Macaca mulatta: one gene and its partners. The protein of the gene in region 1 interacts with the protein of each later gene in a pairwise test. Links are inferred from orthologs where the notes say so. Each region holds a gene or a part of one and is shown in the gene's direction. Other genes may lie near its edges.

Evidence for each region.
Region 2: the proteins of TAX1BP1 (region 1) and PLEKHN1 interact in binary tests that used the Homo sapiens proteins (3 or more experiments, as listed by UniProt). The two-hybrid records come from large-scale screens. The link is inferred for Macaca mulatta from reciprocal best matches to the Homo sapiens genes TAX1BP1 and PLEKHN1.
Region 3: the proteins of TAX1BP1 (region 1) and CXXC1 interact in binary tests that used the Homo sapiens proteins (3 or more experiments, as listed by UniProt). The two-hybrid records come from large-scale screens. The link is inferred for Macaca mulatta from reciprocal best matches to the Homo sapiens genes TAX1BP1 and CXXC1.

Annotation. Positions count from the first base shown.
Region 1 is NC_133408.1:100,601,378-100,605,330, reverse strand, and holds the start of TAX1BP1 (tax1-binding protein 1), read left to right. Parts: upstream 1-1,153; 5' UTR 1,154-1,298; intron 1,299-3,953.
Region 2 is NC_133406.1:239,720,841-239,724,822, reverse strand, and holds the start of PLEKHN1 (pleckstrin homology domain-containing family N member 1), read left to right. Parts: upstream 1-1,182; 5' UTR 1,183-1,260; coding exon 1,261-1,343; intron 1,344-1,427; coding exon 1,428-1,527; intron 1,528-3,982. UniProt on the Homo sapiens protein: Controls the stability of the leptin mRNA harboring an AU-rich element (ARE) in its 3' UTR, in cooperation with the RNA stabilizer ELAVL1.
Region 3 is NC_133423.1:42,016,644-42,020,740, forward strand, and holds the start of CXXC1 (CXXC-type zinc finger protein 1), read left to right. Parts: upstream 1-1,297; 5' UTR 1,298-1,468; coding exon 1,469-1,471; intron 1,472-1,550; exon of another isoform or gene 1,551-1,633; coding exon of another isoform or gene 1,634-1,636; intron 1,637-2,172; coding exon 2,173-2,291; intron 2,292-2,391; coding exon 2,392-2,492; intron 2,493-2,777; coding exon 2,778-3,013; intron 3,014-3,106; coding exon 3,107-3,286; intron 3,287-3,681; coding exon 3,682-3,708; intron 3,709-3,785; coding exon 3,786-4,031; intron 4,032-4,097. UniProt on the Homo sapiens protein: Transcriptional activator that exhibits a unique DNA binding specificity for CpG unmethylated motifs with a preference for CpGG.

The DNA of each region.
Region 1 (3,953 bases):
TTATTTCTACTACCAGAAGGCTGCTACCAGTAACGCGAGTGATAACTTAAGTTGATTATTCACACCGTTTTCTTCATCCATAAAATAAGGAGACTGGGACTAAATGACCTGTTAAGGTTCTTCTGAAATTCTATGATCAAGTATACTACCCAGCACAAGATCAAGTTAAAAAATGTCAATACATAGGAAAGAAATCAGTCTGTAAATACTGAGAACCTGTATTATCAAAGCTAATGTCTTCTGAAATAACTGGAAGTAAAGATGAAAGTATATGAAAGATAATTTTGAATGTTCTGTATTTAGAATGTGCTTCAACATTTAACGCGATCTAATTTACGTACCTTTCAGGTGCTATTGCAAGTTTTATCAGGGTTTTATGGCAACAGACGAATATGATGAATTCGAATGGGACACACTGGCTTCTGTGAAGTTAGGATTCAAACTGAATGTCTAATATAGGAAGGCAATACATACAAAAGGCAAAAGTGATTTTAGAAATAACAGAACGCGGGACAAAATTCACACACGGAAAATGATATGGCTAACAAAAGCCGGTAACTCACAAAAATGCGGGTAGAAAAGAGGCCTCTCTGCTGGAGCGAGAACAAATAGAATCAGACGGCATTAGAACTGAAAGGCTCCTAGGAGCTTTCAGTGAACAAAACTTCGTAGTCAAAAAAGCACAGGACTGGGCCAGGAGTTGAGAGACAATCCTGGAGTTTAGGTGTTTGCAGCCCTAGCCGTGTGGTAACTCCCTTGCTTCTCTGGCTATTTCCTTATCTATAAAATCGGTGGGTTAGTTTAGGCCGACTGAGACGCAGGCAGGGACACGGTACTGTTCATGGACCTCTGAGCTGCCCTTTCCACATCGCGGTTGAGTTACTTAAATCTCTGGTGTGTTTCCCCATTTCGTATGTCAAAATAATAACATACAATCAGAATGTAAATCCAGACGCATTGTTTTTCTGCGATTAACTTGCTGAGCGAAAATGGCAAAGACGAACGAAGGAGAGAACCATTCGGCCTGCGAGAGGAGGCACGCCTGGGTCCAGCTTCGCGTCCCGCGGCGCAGTAGGCTGGGGGCGTGTCGTCGCGGAGCGGCGGGGCGAACCCTCCAGGAGGCGGAAGAGACCGCCCCGTGGGCGGAAGTGACGCAAGGCCTACTGTCGGCTGTGAGGGTAGGTGTAGCCGGTCTTTGGGGGTAGGCGGTGGTGGCGGAAGAGGTTCAGCGGCTGATGGCGGATCAGGATCGGAAGCCTGTGTAACTTTCTCCCTTGGTCCGGGAGTCTTTCCACTGGGTAAGGCGCCTCCCCGGTCCACCCCAGCACCTTGTGCGGGTCGGACCCCAGCTGCATCTCTTTTAGGGCTCGTGCTACACCCCTCTGCCCCTGTACTGTAGGGGCCTGGCCGGTCTCGGGAGAGGTCTCAGTGGTGACGAGGCTTTCCTTCCCGAGAACAAACCTTCCCTTCCGGACTGCGATTGTGACGGGGGTGTGGGCGACTCGGATCAGCCGTAGAGTTTTGGAATAGCAACGGGTGGCCGCCCCACGCGGAGGGAGGCCCGCGGGACAGGTCTTCGCGATTTGGGGGAGGCGTGTGGGACGGGTGCCCTTTGGCTGGGGACGAGTGACGCTGGCGACCCCCGAAGGAAAAGCTTCTGGTGTCCAAGGCTCAACTCTGGGATGACTGTTTTGAGGTCCCTGTGGGTGTTACCGGCGCAGTAAGCTGAGAAAACACGTAGGTCGCGTCCGAGAAGGACGCTGGGGTTTGCCTCTGCGGAGAGAAACCCAGCTGTTTTGGTTTGAGTCGCCGGTGGCGAAGGGGGCGGAGACTCCCTGCGCCGCCTACTTTTGAGGGCCGCGGGCGGAGTTGGCTGTTCCGGCTGATCTCCTGCTTCACCTGGAATCCTTTCCCCACCCCGCCCCAACACACCCCGCAGGTTCGCGAGGTGTGAACTAGTCCCGACCGACCTGCATTCCTCGCTTAGAGAATCTGTGGCTAGAGTTTAGTGTGCGCGTGTACACCTTATTAGTAAAAAATAGAGCTTAGCATGCGTTTGTGTGGGTGTGTGTACACACCTTATTGGTAAAAGTTTTGTTGGACAACACTGGCATATGACTTTAGACGTACAGTGTTAGATTTCCGATTTCACACAGTGGTTATGAATTGCTATTATGTCAGGCTTTAGATGGGAAAATCTTAATTGTTCAACTGTCTGCATTCTGCTGATGTTAAAATTTCTACGTGCTGTGCACGAACAATTACTAGTTACAAGTTTGGTGCTTAATTCCAAAAGGATTTAAAGAGATCATTTGAATAGAAACTAAAAGTGGGTTGATTGTCCTCAGTGCTTTTCGGGTTTAGAGAAGGAGCTGAGGACAGCCTTTCTCCTTCGTTCTGTTCTTTTCAAGGGTAAACTTGAAGTATTGTTTGATGATGCCGACTTCTAATAAAGTTTTATTTATTTTTCAAGCTGTTCAACTTCAAAGAACATCTTACTGTATTTTTTGTTTTATAGCCATCACGTTCTTTTTTTTTTTTTTTCCTTGAGACGGAGTCTTGCTCTGTCTCCCAGGCTGGAGTGCAGTGGCACGATCTCGGCTCACTGCAACCTCCGCCTCCCAGGTTCAAGCGATTCTCCTGCCTCAGCCTCCTGGGTAGCTGCGATTACAGGCGCGCGCCACCACGCCCGGCTAATTTTTGTATTTTTAGTAGAGACGGGGTTTCTCCATGTTGGTTAGGCTAGGGTCGAACTCCTGACCTCCTGATCTGCCCGCCTCGGCCTCCCAAAGTGCTGGGATTACAGGCGTGAGCCACTGCGACTGGCGCATCAAGTTCTTAAATTGTAGACCGCTGTTTGTAGTTCTCACTGCAGCGATGTTTGTAGAATTAACCAGTAAATATCTTTTCCATAACAAAAGTAAAATTTTGGAATTCAGAGTTTCAACCTTTTTAATGATGTTGAAATAATTATGGAAGATCCTAACGATGCTCCTTGTATACTTCTTTTGGGGACTTTATTGTATTCTTTTGGAATGGATATGTAAAATCTGGGCTTTATGCATTTCTGTCTTTTTAAAGCTTATTTTGTCCCAAATAAACCTTCAGAAGAAGATAAAAATGTCCTCTCCCCTAATATATGTGGGCCAAGATCATAGCATTTTAGAAACCAACTTATAAAATCTAAGAAGTAAGTAAAAGTGGTGCGGGTGACACCTGAGCGGAATGTCTTGGCACTCAGGTGTAAAGGATTCTGGAACTAGGGATGCCTGCAATGGTGCAAGTTAATAGACTGGGGCCTTTGCTTTTGCCTCCTAGAAAAATTGCTGATTACATTTTTTTGGAAGCAGAGGTCTGTTGATAGTTGTTAAGTTTTTCTTTCTTTGAGCCACAGTGTGAATAATTGGAAACTGTTTGAATGTTGGACATTTTTTGCTTTCATATGTTTGCGTGTCCTGTCGGACTGAAGTTTGGAGATAATTCTAAAGGTTTTTTAGCTGAGGATGTGAAAAACTTTCGGTAACTCTGTCAACCATTACCTGAATTATAACACTTCTAAAGATACAAACTGTTCATATTCTAAAATGCAGTGTTTCTGCTGCAGTAGGTCTTATGTGGAGTGTTACTAATCTGTTTCATTTCTTTATTTGCTTTGGTTTTCCTATTACGGAAATTTTCAAACATACACAAAGGAGAATGAACAGTAAAATGAACTGACACTTTACTAATCTTGTTTTATTACCCCTCTAACATTTATTTTTTTCCCCTGGAGTTTTTAAAGCAAATCTTAGACATCAAGACGTTTCATTTACAGTTAGTTTAGCATCTTTAACTGATAAGGACTTTAGAAAAACACAGAATTGCCATAATTATATTATCACACATAACAAAATTATTTTTGAATTCTAATTGTTAGGACTGGCAAATTATATTTAATATTTATCTAAATTAAA
Region 2 (3,982 bases), on another chromosome or scaffold:
AGGGGGCCGTGGCCCCCACCAGGGACATCTTGCATCTTCTGTTCACGTCTCTGCGTCCATTCCTTCGTGTCTATATTTAGTTGTTTATTTATTTAGTTATTTATCTTATTTATTGAGGGGTGAGCAGTGCTGCGGCCGCCCGTCCTCCCCTCCACTGCCTGCATGGCGGGCAGCCGGGAGTGACCAGGTCGGGGCCTCGCTGCCCCAGGGCCATTGCCTGCTCAGACCCTGCAGGCCGCGGAGCCAGAGGCCCTGGGGCTTTCCAAGCAGCTGCAGACCCCAGCTCGAATTTTGTACACGGCGGGGTCCCGGGAAGGGTGGGGAGCAGGTGTCCTTCCTGTCATCGTCTGCTTTGTGCCGTCTTCCCTGGATCTTGTAGTGGGTGCACACGTGTGCACTCGGGCCCCACACAGCAATACAATCCCAACTTGAACAATAAACACATTTCTGGGGCTTCCCAGGCTGAGCATCTCTCTGGCTTGTGGGGCAGCTGCGCAACTTTGGGTCCTATCTGGGGGTCCAGGGTGAGGGGCGTGGGCGGGTGGCCTGAGATGCTGCACCGGTGTCTGGGGGCTACAAGGCAGAGCTGTGCATCCAGGGAGGGTGGGGGCCATGGAGTCTCTCCCACTGTAGGTGGGGTTTGCCTGAGCTGGGTCCTGAGGCTGAGGTCCCCGCCACGTCTTGGGCTCTGGGGGTGCGGCGGGGGAGGACAGCACTGCCCCTGCGTATGCTGACTGTCCTGGCCGCCTAGGTGGCACGTGGCCTTCCAGAGTCCCCTTAAGCCTTGAGGACCCTGATGGGTCTGGTGAGGGAGCCCAGGCAGGAGGGGAGGCTGGGGTGGCTCTGGGCACTGTCTCCTACGCTGGAATTCCTGCCTCAGCCCTCCCTGCAGTCACCGGTGACTCAGGCCGGCCAGGGTTTAGATGGAAACAGGATGTGTGTGCACATTGTTGGGGGGGTGCTGGAAGGTGGCCCCGATTTCACAAAGCCTGAGCACAGGCAAGTGGGGTGCCCCTTGCACACTGGAGGCCTTGTCTGGGCCAGAGGGGAGATCGCCCCAAGGCTGGCCCCTCGGTGTGGAGGGCCCAGGGCAGAGACCTGGATGGCTCAGGTAGGGGCGAGGCCTCTTCCAGAATGGCTCCACCCCCGCCCAGCCCTGGGTGACGGGCGGGACGTCCCAGAGCCCCGCCTGCCTGTGGGAGGCGGGGGCAGGAGGCTGTGGACAGGGACCCAGACTTGCCGACCTGCACGACTCTGGCCATGGGGAACAGCCACTGTGTCCCTCAGGCCCCCAGGAGGCTCCGGGCCTCCTTCTCCAGAAAGCCCTCATTGAAGGGAAACAGGTGAGCGGGGTGTGGGTGTGGCCACCTGGGCACGGGGCTCCCCCACCCGCTCCGGGGCCACGAGCTCCCTTGCCTTGTCCCCAGAGAGGACGGCGCACGGATGCCGGCTGGCCTGCTGGGCCCCGAGGCTGCTGGAAGCGGGGACGCCGCCGCCAACAAGCTCTTCCACTACATCCCGGGCACGGTGAGCGCGGCGCACGCGGTGGCTGGGGTCTGGGAGCGTGGCTCTGCCCGCGCGTGTGTGCCGCGTGTCCTTGCAGTTCAGGGTCTTCCCCTCGGCCCGGGGGGATTCAGACCCCCTTAGGTGAGGAGCGGATGCTGACTGCCCCGCCCTGGGGAGCTCATCGGGCCGAAAGTCTGAGCGGAGAGCGAAACCGCGACGCAGGACTGAGTCAGTCGGGAGCGAGCTGGGCGGGGCGGGCCGCGGGCGGGGCCTCCCGGGACCTCCTCCCGCAGGGGACCGGCGCACGCGTCTCTGTCGCTGCAGTGGGGCTGGGGTCGTGCTGGTCGTGTCACTTGACAGTAAGGGGCTTCAGGTGCGCAGTGAGCCAGCCGGCCACCTACCCGCGGCCTGTTTCTGACGGGGTGTCCCGCAGGAAGCTGCTGCTGGGTACCGCCGCCCTGTCCACAGCAACCCCTCTGTGCACGCAGGGCCTCCTCCCAGCCTGCCAAGGCCACGCAGCAAGGAGGCATCTCCCGAGCACACACTAGGCCACCTCTCCGTCGTGGAAGGAGCAGAAGAACCCCCATGCCCATCCCCCCGCCCAGGCCCCCGTAGGACTAAGGGTCTTCACAGGGTAGATGCCCAGCCCCTTTCAGATGTGCCTGGTGCTGGGTTGAGGGAACAGGAGGAGGAACCCCCACGGCACCCCTGTCAGGCAGGCTGGATGCTATGTGCAGGCCCTAGGAGCGTCTGGGGGAGAGGACCCCTGCCCTGCACTCCTAGGTCCAGCAGCTGGCGTGGCCGTGCAGACCCCGTTGCCAACATGCCCCCGCCAGGCAGGAGGCTCGTGCCATACCCTCTCCTGACCTGCAGAGTTTCAGGGTTCCCTGCAGACAACAGGTGCTGGTTTTGGAAACCACACTGCCTCAGAGGAGTGGGCAGGCAGAGGGGGCCAGGCTGGCCTAGGGGTGGGGTCCCTTTGGCTGCATCTCAGACGCTACTCTCTCTGTCCAGGCCCAGGACATGCAGTGGGACCCTGGTAGGGCCCTATGAGGTGTGGTGGGTGGCCCTAGTGGTCCTCCCTTGCCAGGACATGGTAGCCAGAGAGGGAACCCGCTGAGCCTCAGGAAATGGGGCTGGGGGAGGAGCTCGGGGCCAGTCCTGGAGCCAGTGCTCCTCTGCCCTGTGCCTGGGCTCTGCACCCAGTGCTGTGAGCTGGCTCTGCCGGCTCCAGGCTGAGTCCTCCCTGGGGCCCCGAGGCTGAGCTGGGCTGCAGGGCTAGCTGTGTGGCCCTTCCTGGTCTGTGGCCTATTTTTCATAGGTGCCTACCCGGCATCAGTTCCCACGCTGGGTGTGGGTACAGGAGGCCCCACCCAGAGGCGGGAGGCCGGGAAAGCCTATGCGTCTGTCTGTTCACATTCCTGGGCCTGCTCAGGGGCAGCTAAGCTTGGCCAGGACACAGCAGCACTGCTGGTAGCCCTTGCCAGCTCCTAGAGGGAACAGGACACCTTCCCACTTGCCCCTGAGCCTGTGGATCACAGAGCTCTCCAGCCCCAGGTTCACACCCGTCCCCTTTCTGATCTCTAGCCTGGTGATCAAAGCCTGCATTTGTAGAGGACTGTGCCAGGATTGGCTAAGTGTGGCATGGATGTGGATTCCTCTCCCCTCTCAGCACATGCAGTGATACCCACAGCACATCCCAGGCCCTGCCTTAGGCTCTGGGGACACAGAACTGAACGGAATAGACAACCCCTGTTCTCACGGTGCTCCCACTCCCAGACGATGGGGCAAATAAATAGAAGATCCAGTGAGAAGGGTGGGGTTGGTGCTAAGGAGAAAAACAGCGGGGATGGGTGCAGAGGATCAGGGAAGGCTGGAATTTTAGAGGGGCTTTCAGAAAAGGACCTCTTGGAGCAGGTGATGTCTGAGCAAAGCTGCAAAGCGGGTAAGGAAGGGGGTGGGGACTGAGCGGTCCCCAAAGCGGGAAGAGCACATGCAGTGGCCGGAGAGCGGGGGTCTGACCCCTCGGGGCACTGCCAGGACCCGGCTGTCACCTAAGCAAGTGGCCAGCACACACTCAGGGGATCGACCCCGGAAATCTCCTCACATCTTTCAGGCTGGGGGCTGGAAATGGGCGGCGCTGAGAACATTGACACTGAGGAAATTGACAAACGTTACAAATCAGGGCATTGGTGTGTTTCTGTGTCTGTTTTTTGTAGAACCAGGTGTTAAACGTTTACCAGCCAATACTGGAGACGTGGGAGGGTTTTGAGTGTTACCCAGACACCCCCAAATTCTTCTAACAAGTCTTCAGAGGTTGAATAACCAAAGACATGTTACACAGCTTAGGAAATAATGAAGATAGGATTTAATCCACTGAGTTCAAATCTCACCATCTCTACCACTAGACCAGGCAGCTCTGTGTGGGGAAGTGTGTCTGTGTGTGTGTGTGTATGCACGCACATGAGTGTGTGCA
Region 3 (4,097 bases), on another chromosome or scaffold:
TCCAGGCAAGTTCCTATTGTGTTTTAGTTTTGGTTTGTTTGTTTTCCTTTTTGCAAGTTTGCGAGGAGTCCTTAGAATGGCTTCCAGGCGGAGCGGGCGCGGTGGTTCACGCCTGTAATCCCAGCACTTTGGAGGGCCAAGGCTGGCGAATCACCTTAAGTCGGGAGATCCAGACCATCCTGGCCAACACGGTGAAAGCCCGTCTTTACTAAAAATACAAAAAATTAGCCGGGCGTGGTAGCGCAAGCCTGTAATCCCAGCTACTCGGAAGGCTGAGGCAGGATAATAGGTTGAATCCGGGAGGCAGAGGTTGTAGTGAGCCGAGATCGCGCCATTGCACTCCAGCCTGGGCAACAAAAGCGAAACTCCGTCTCAAAAAATGAGTAAATAAATAAATAAAAATTAGAAAGAATGGCTTCCAGGCTCCATTTTACAGCTGTTAACCAGAGTGACACCGTTTTGTATATCACATTTCACAAGAGATAATCAGGTATGAGCATACAGATCTATGTTTAAGAATGTTCGTTGCAACTTTATTTAGAATAATATTTGAAAATGTTCTAAATGCTAAACAATAAATCAATGTAAACTGTGCTTAGGCTTATTGTGCAGCTTATATAACTAAAATAAGATTTGATATTAGTTTAACAATTGTTTTTAAATAAAAATAAAATAAATAGAAGCCGAACCGTGCCAGGCCTGGCAGAAGAATGACAAGTGGGAGGAGTGAGAGCCGGAAAGAGTGGTGGCAGGTGAAGTCGGAGACGACAGAGGAACTGGTTTCCTCCGCCCCGCAAGGCACACAGCCTGCCGACACCCCATCAATACATGTGGAAGGGGAAAGAGACAGAATGGAGGAATGAATACAACTTGATCCAGGTAGCGTTTCGGGAGCGGCCGCTTTACCTGTGAACCTCTCTGCCTGACAAGCTGCCAATATACGGTATCAACCACCAAGATGGCGGCGCCCTTGAGGAATCCGCAAATAGGTCGCCGCCATGTGTCGCCAAGGAACGTACGAATTCGACCCTCGTACGGAATCAGATTCCAAGATGACGGCATCTATGAGGAAGTCACGCAGTAGGTGCAGCCATGTTGCCTGTACGTCCAGGCCGTACTAGCAGCCGCCGTACGGACTCTACTGACAAGGTGGCGACGCCCTCGGGAAAGCCACAATTGAGCGCTGCCATGTTCCCGGCGAACGTGTGGATTCGGCCACCATACGGATACGATAATCAAGATGGCGGCGCCTGAGGGTTCTTCGGGGGCTCTAGGCGAGCGACCTACTGGTTTGCGGCGGAGACGACGCACGGGGCTTGCGCAATAGGAGTACGCTGCCTGGGAGGCGTGACCAGAAGCGGAAGTAGTTGTGGGCGCCTTTGCAACCGCCTGGGACGCCGCCGAGTGGTCTGTGCAGGTTCGCGGGTTGCTGGCGGGGGTCGCGAGGGAGTGCGCCGGGAGCGGAGATATGGTGAGTACCGGGTTCAGGGAGGGGTTCGGCGGTGGAGGTTGGTGGGGTTGGCAACAGTGGGGTCTGTCGGCCGACTCAGGGGTCTGTGGTGAGCCGTAACCGGAGTCTGTGGACTGAACGGCGGGAGTCTGTGGGCAGAATGATGAACCATCTGGGAGTTCTATGGTGAGCCACGGTGGGGGAGTCCTTAATAGAAGTTTAGTGGGGACTCCGGGTGGCAGTTCCGTGGGAAACCGTGATCGGGGATTGTGAGGAGTCACACTGGGTGGTCTGTAGTGAGCCGTGACGAGGAGTTCGTGTCCGGGGATCCGTGGACAGCCGCGACTGGGGGTGGGTGCGGGTGCCAGGTGGGTCTATGAGGTAAACAGGGAGGGGTGCGTAGAGACCGCGATGGGAAGTCCGCAGTGAATTACGCGGGGTCTGTGAGGGCGCCACGATGAAGGATCGCGATGGCCCATTAGCGAGTGTGGACGCAGGGAGCGGGTGTCGGTGGGTGCGTGATGGGAAGTATGGAGCAAAGTAATAGGATGTCAGGGGAAGGGATGGAGGTCAGTGGGGACTGTGATGGAGAGGTTTTTGGGGGGCCCCGATGTGAAATCTGCAGGCAGAGTGGGGATCCCTGCTGACCATGGTGGAGCTGTAATGGGATAAGCCGCCACGGTGGGGGCTGTTTAAGGATCCGTAATGGGGGTATCCCGCAGGAGGGAGATGGTTCAGACCCAGAACCTCCAGATGCTGGGGAGGACAGCAAGTCGGAGAATGGAGAGAATGCGCCCATCTACTGCATCTGTCGCAAACCGGACATCAACTGCTTCATGATGTGAGCCCGGGAGAGGTGGGCGGGGCAGACACTAGCAGGGTGGGGTGAGGCCGATGGGCCGCGCCCCTCACATCTCCACCGCCTGCCCCATCCTCCGCAGCGGGTGTGACAACTGCAATGAGTGGTTCCATGGGGACTGCATCCGGATCACTGAGAAGATGGCCAAGGCCATCCGGGAGTGGTACTGCCGGGAGTGCAGAGGTGAGGGCCATGGATGGACAGGGAAGGCAGGTGGGGCTTCAAGGGAGGAGGAGGAGCCATAATGGGGGGTCATGGGGAGTAGTGATACACGTCTGTGGTGAGCTGGAATGGGGTCTCCATTGTGAGTGGTAATAGAAGATTCCACGGGAAGAGGCAGCTCTGCCCTGGACAGGGGTGCAGAGTAGGTGGGTGGGATAGTAAGGGAGAGAAGAGGAAGAAAGAGGTTTTGGGACCGTTCAGGCCCTCCAGTGCTCACTCACTTTGGCCCTACTCTCTGCCCCACAGAGAAAGACCCCAAACTAGAGATTCGCTATCGGCACAAGAAGTCACGGGAGCGGGATGGCAATGAGCGGGACGGCAGTGAGCCCCGGGATGAGGGTGGAGGGCGCAAGAGGCCTGTCCCCGATCCAGACCTGCAGCGCCGGGCAGGGTCAGGGACAGGGGTTGGGGCCATGCTTGCTCGGGGCTCTGCTTCGCCCCACAAATCCTCGCCGCAGCCCTTGGTGGCCACACCCAGCCAGGTGAGTGGCTGCATAAAGTGAGTAGATGTGTAAAGTGGTTCCGTTTCAGCCCTGCCTGGGTCCATAATTTCTGTTCTGGGCCCCCTCCTCCAGCATCACCAGCAGCAGCAGCAGCAGATCAAACGGTCAGCCCGCATGTGTGGTGAGTGTGAGGCATGTCGGCGCACTGAGGACTGTGGTCACTGTGACTTCTGTCGGGACATGAAGAAGTTTGGGGGCCCCAACAAGATCCGGCAGAAGTGCCGGCTGCGCCAGTGCCAGCTGCGGGCCCGGGTGAGCATGGACAGAGCTGGGTAGGGTCAGGTATGGGAGAGCTGGTGGGTCCATGCATGGTTAGTGTAGTCTAGGCATGGCTAAGCCAGGTGGGATTGGGCCTGACTGTATCTAGACAGGTGGGAAGGGACCTGTCATGTCCAAATGAATGGGGCATGAGCTGGTATGCTGGGCTGGCAGAACCCCCACCAACCCTGGGTGGACAGAGTGGGGTCAGGTGTTTCCAGTTGGTCATGCACGTCAGTACAGATAAGACAGGGGCGAGCATTCCTGGTAGTAAGGGGTAGTGGGGAGGTGTGTCTGGGGAGGTAAGGCCAGGCCAGGTGGGTGGGGCTAGGGCAAGGCCGCCCTCCATCCACCTGGGGCTGACCTGGGCCTTCCTCCTGCCGGCACAGGAATCGTACAAGTACTTCCCTTCCTCGGTGAGTCCAGCTCCCCAGGGTGGGGCGGGGCATGCGGGCAGGGCGGTCAGGGCCAGTCCTGAGATTCTGCCCCGCAGCTCTCACCAGTGACGCCCTCAGAGTCCCTGCCAAGGCCCCGCCGGCCACTGCCCACCCAACAGCAGCCACAGCCATCACAGAAGTTAGGGCGCATCCGTGAAGATGAGGGAGCAGTGGCATCATCAGCAGTCAAGGAGCCTCCTGAGGCTACAGCCACGCCTGAGCCACTCTCAGATGAGGACCTACCTCTGGATCCTGACCTGTATCAGGACTTCTGTGCAGGGGCCTTTGATGACCACGGCCTGGTGAGCAGATAGGAGCATCCCCTGGTGGAAGGGTGGAGGTTACAGAAGCAGAGAGTATCCGTAATG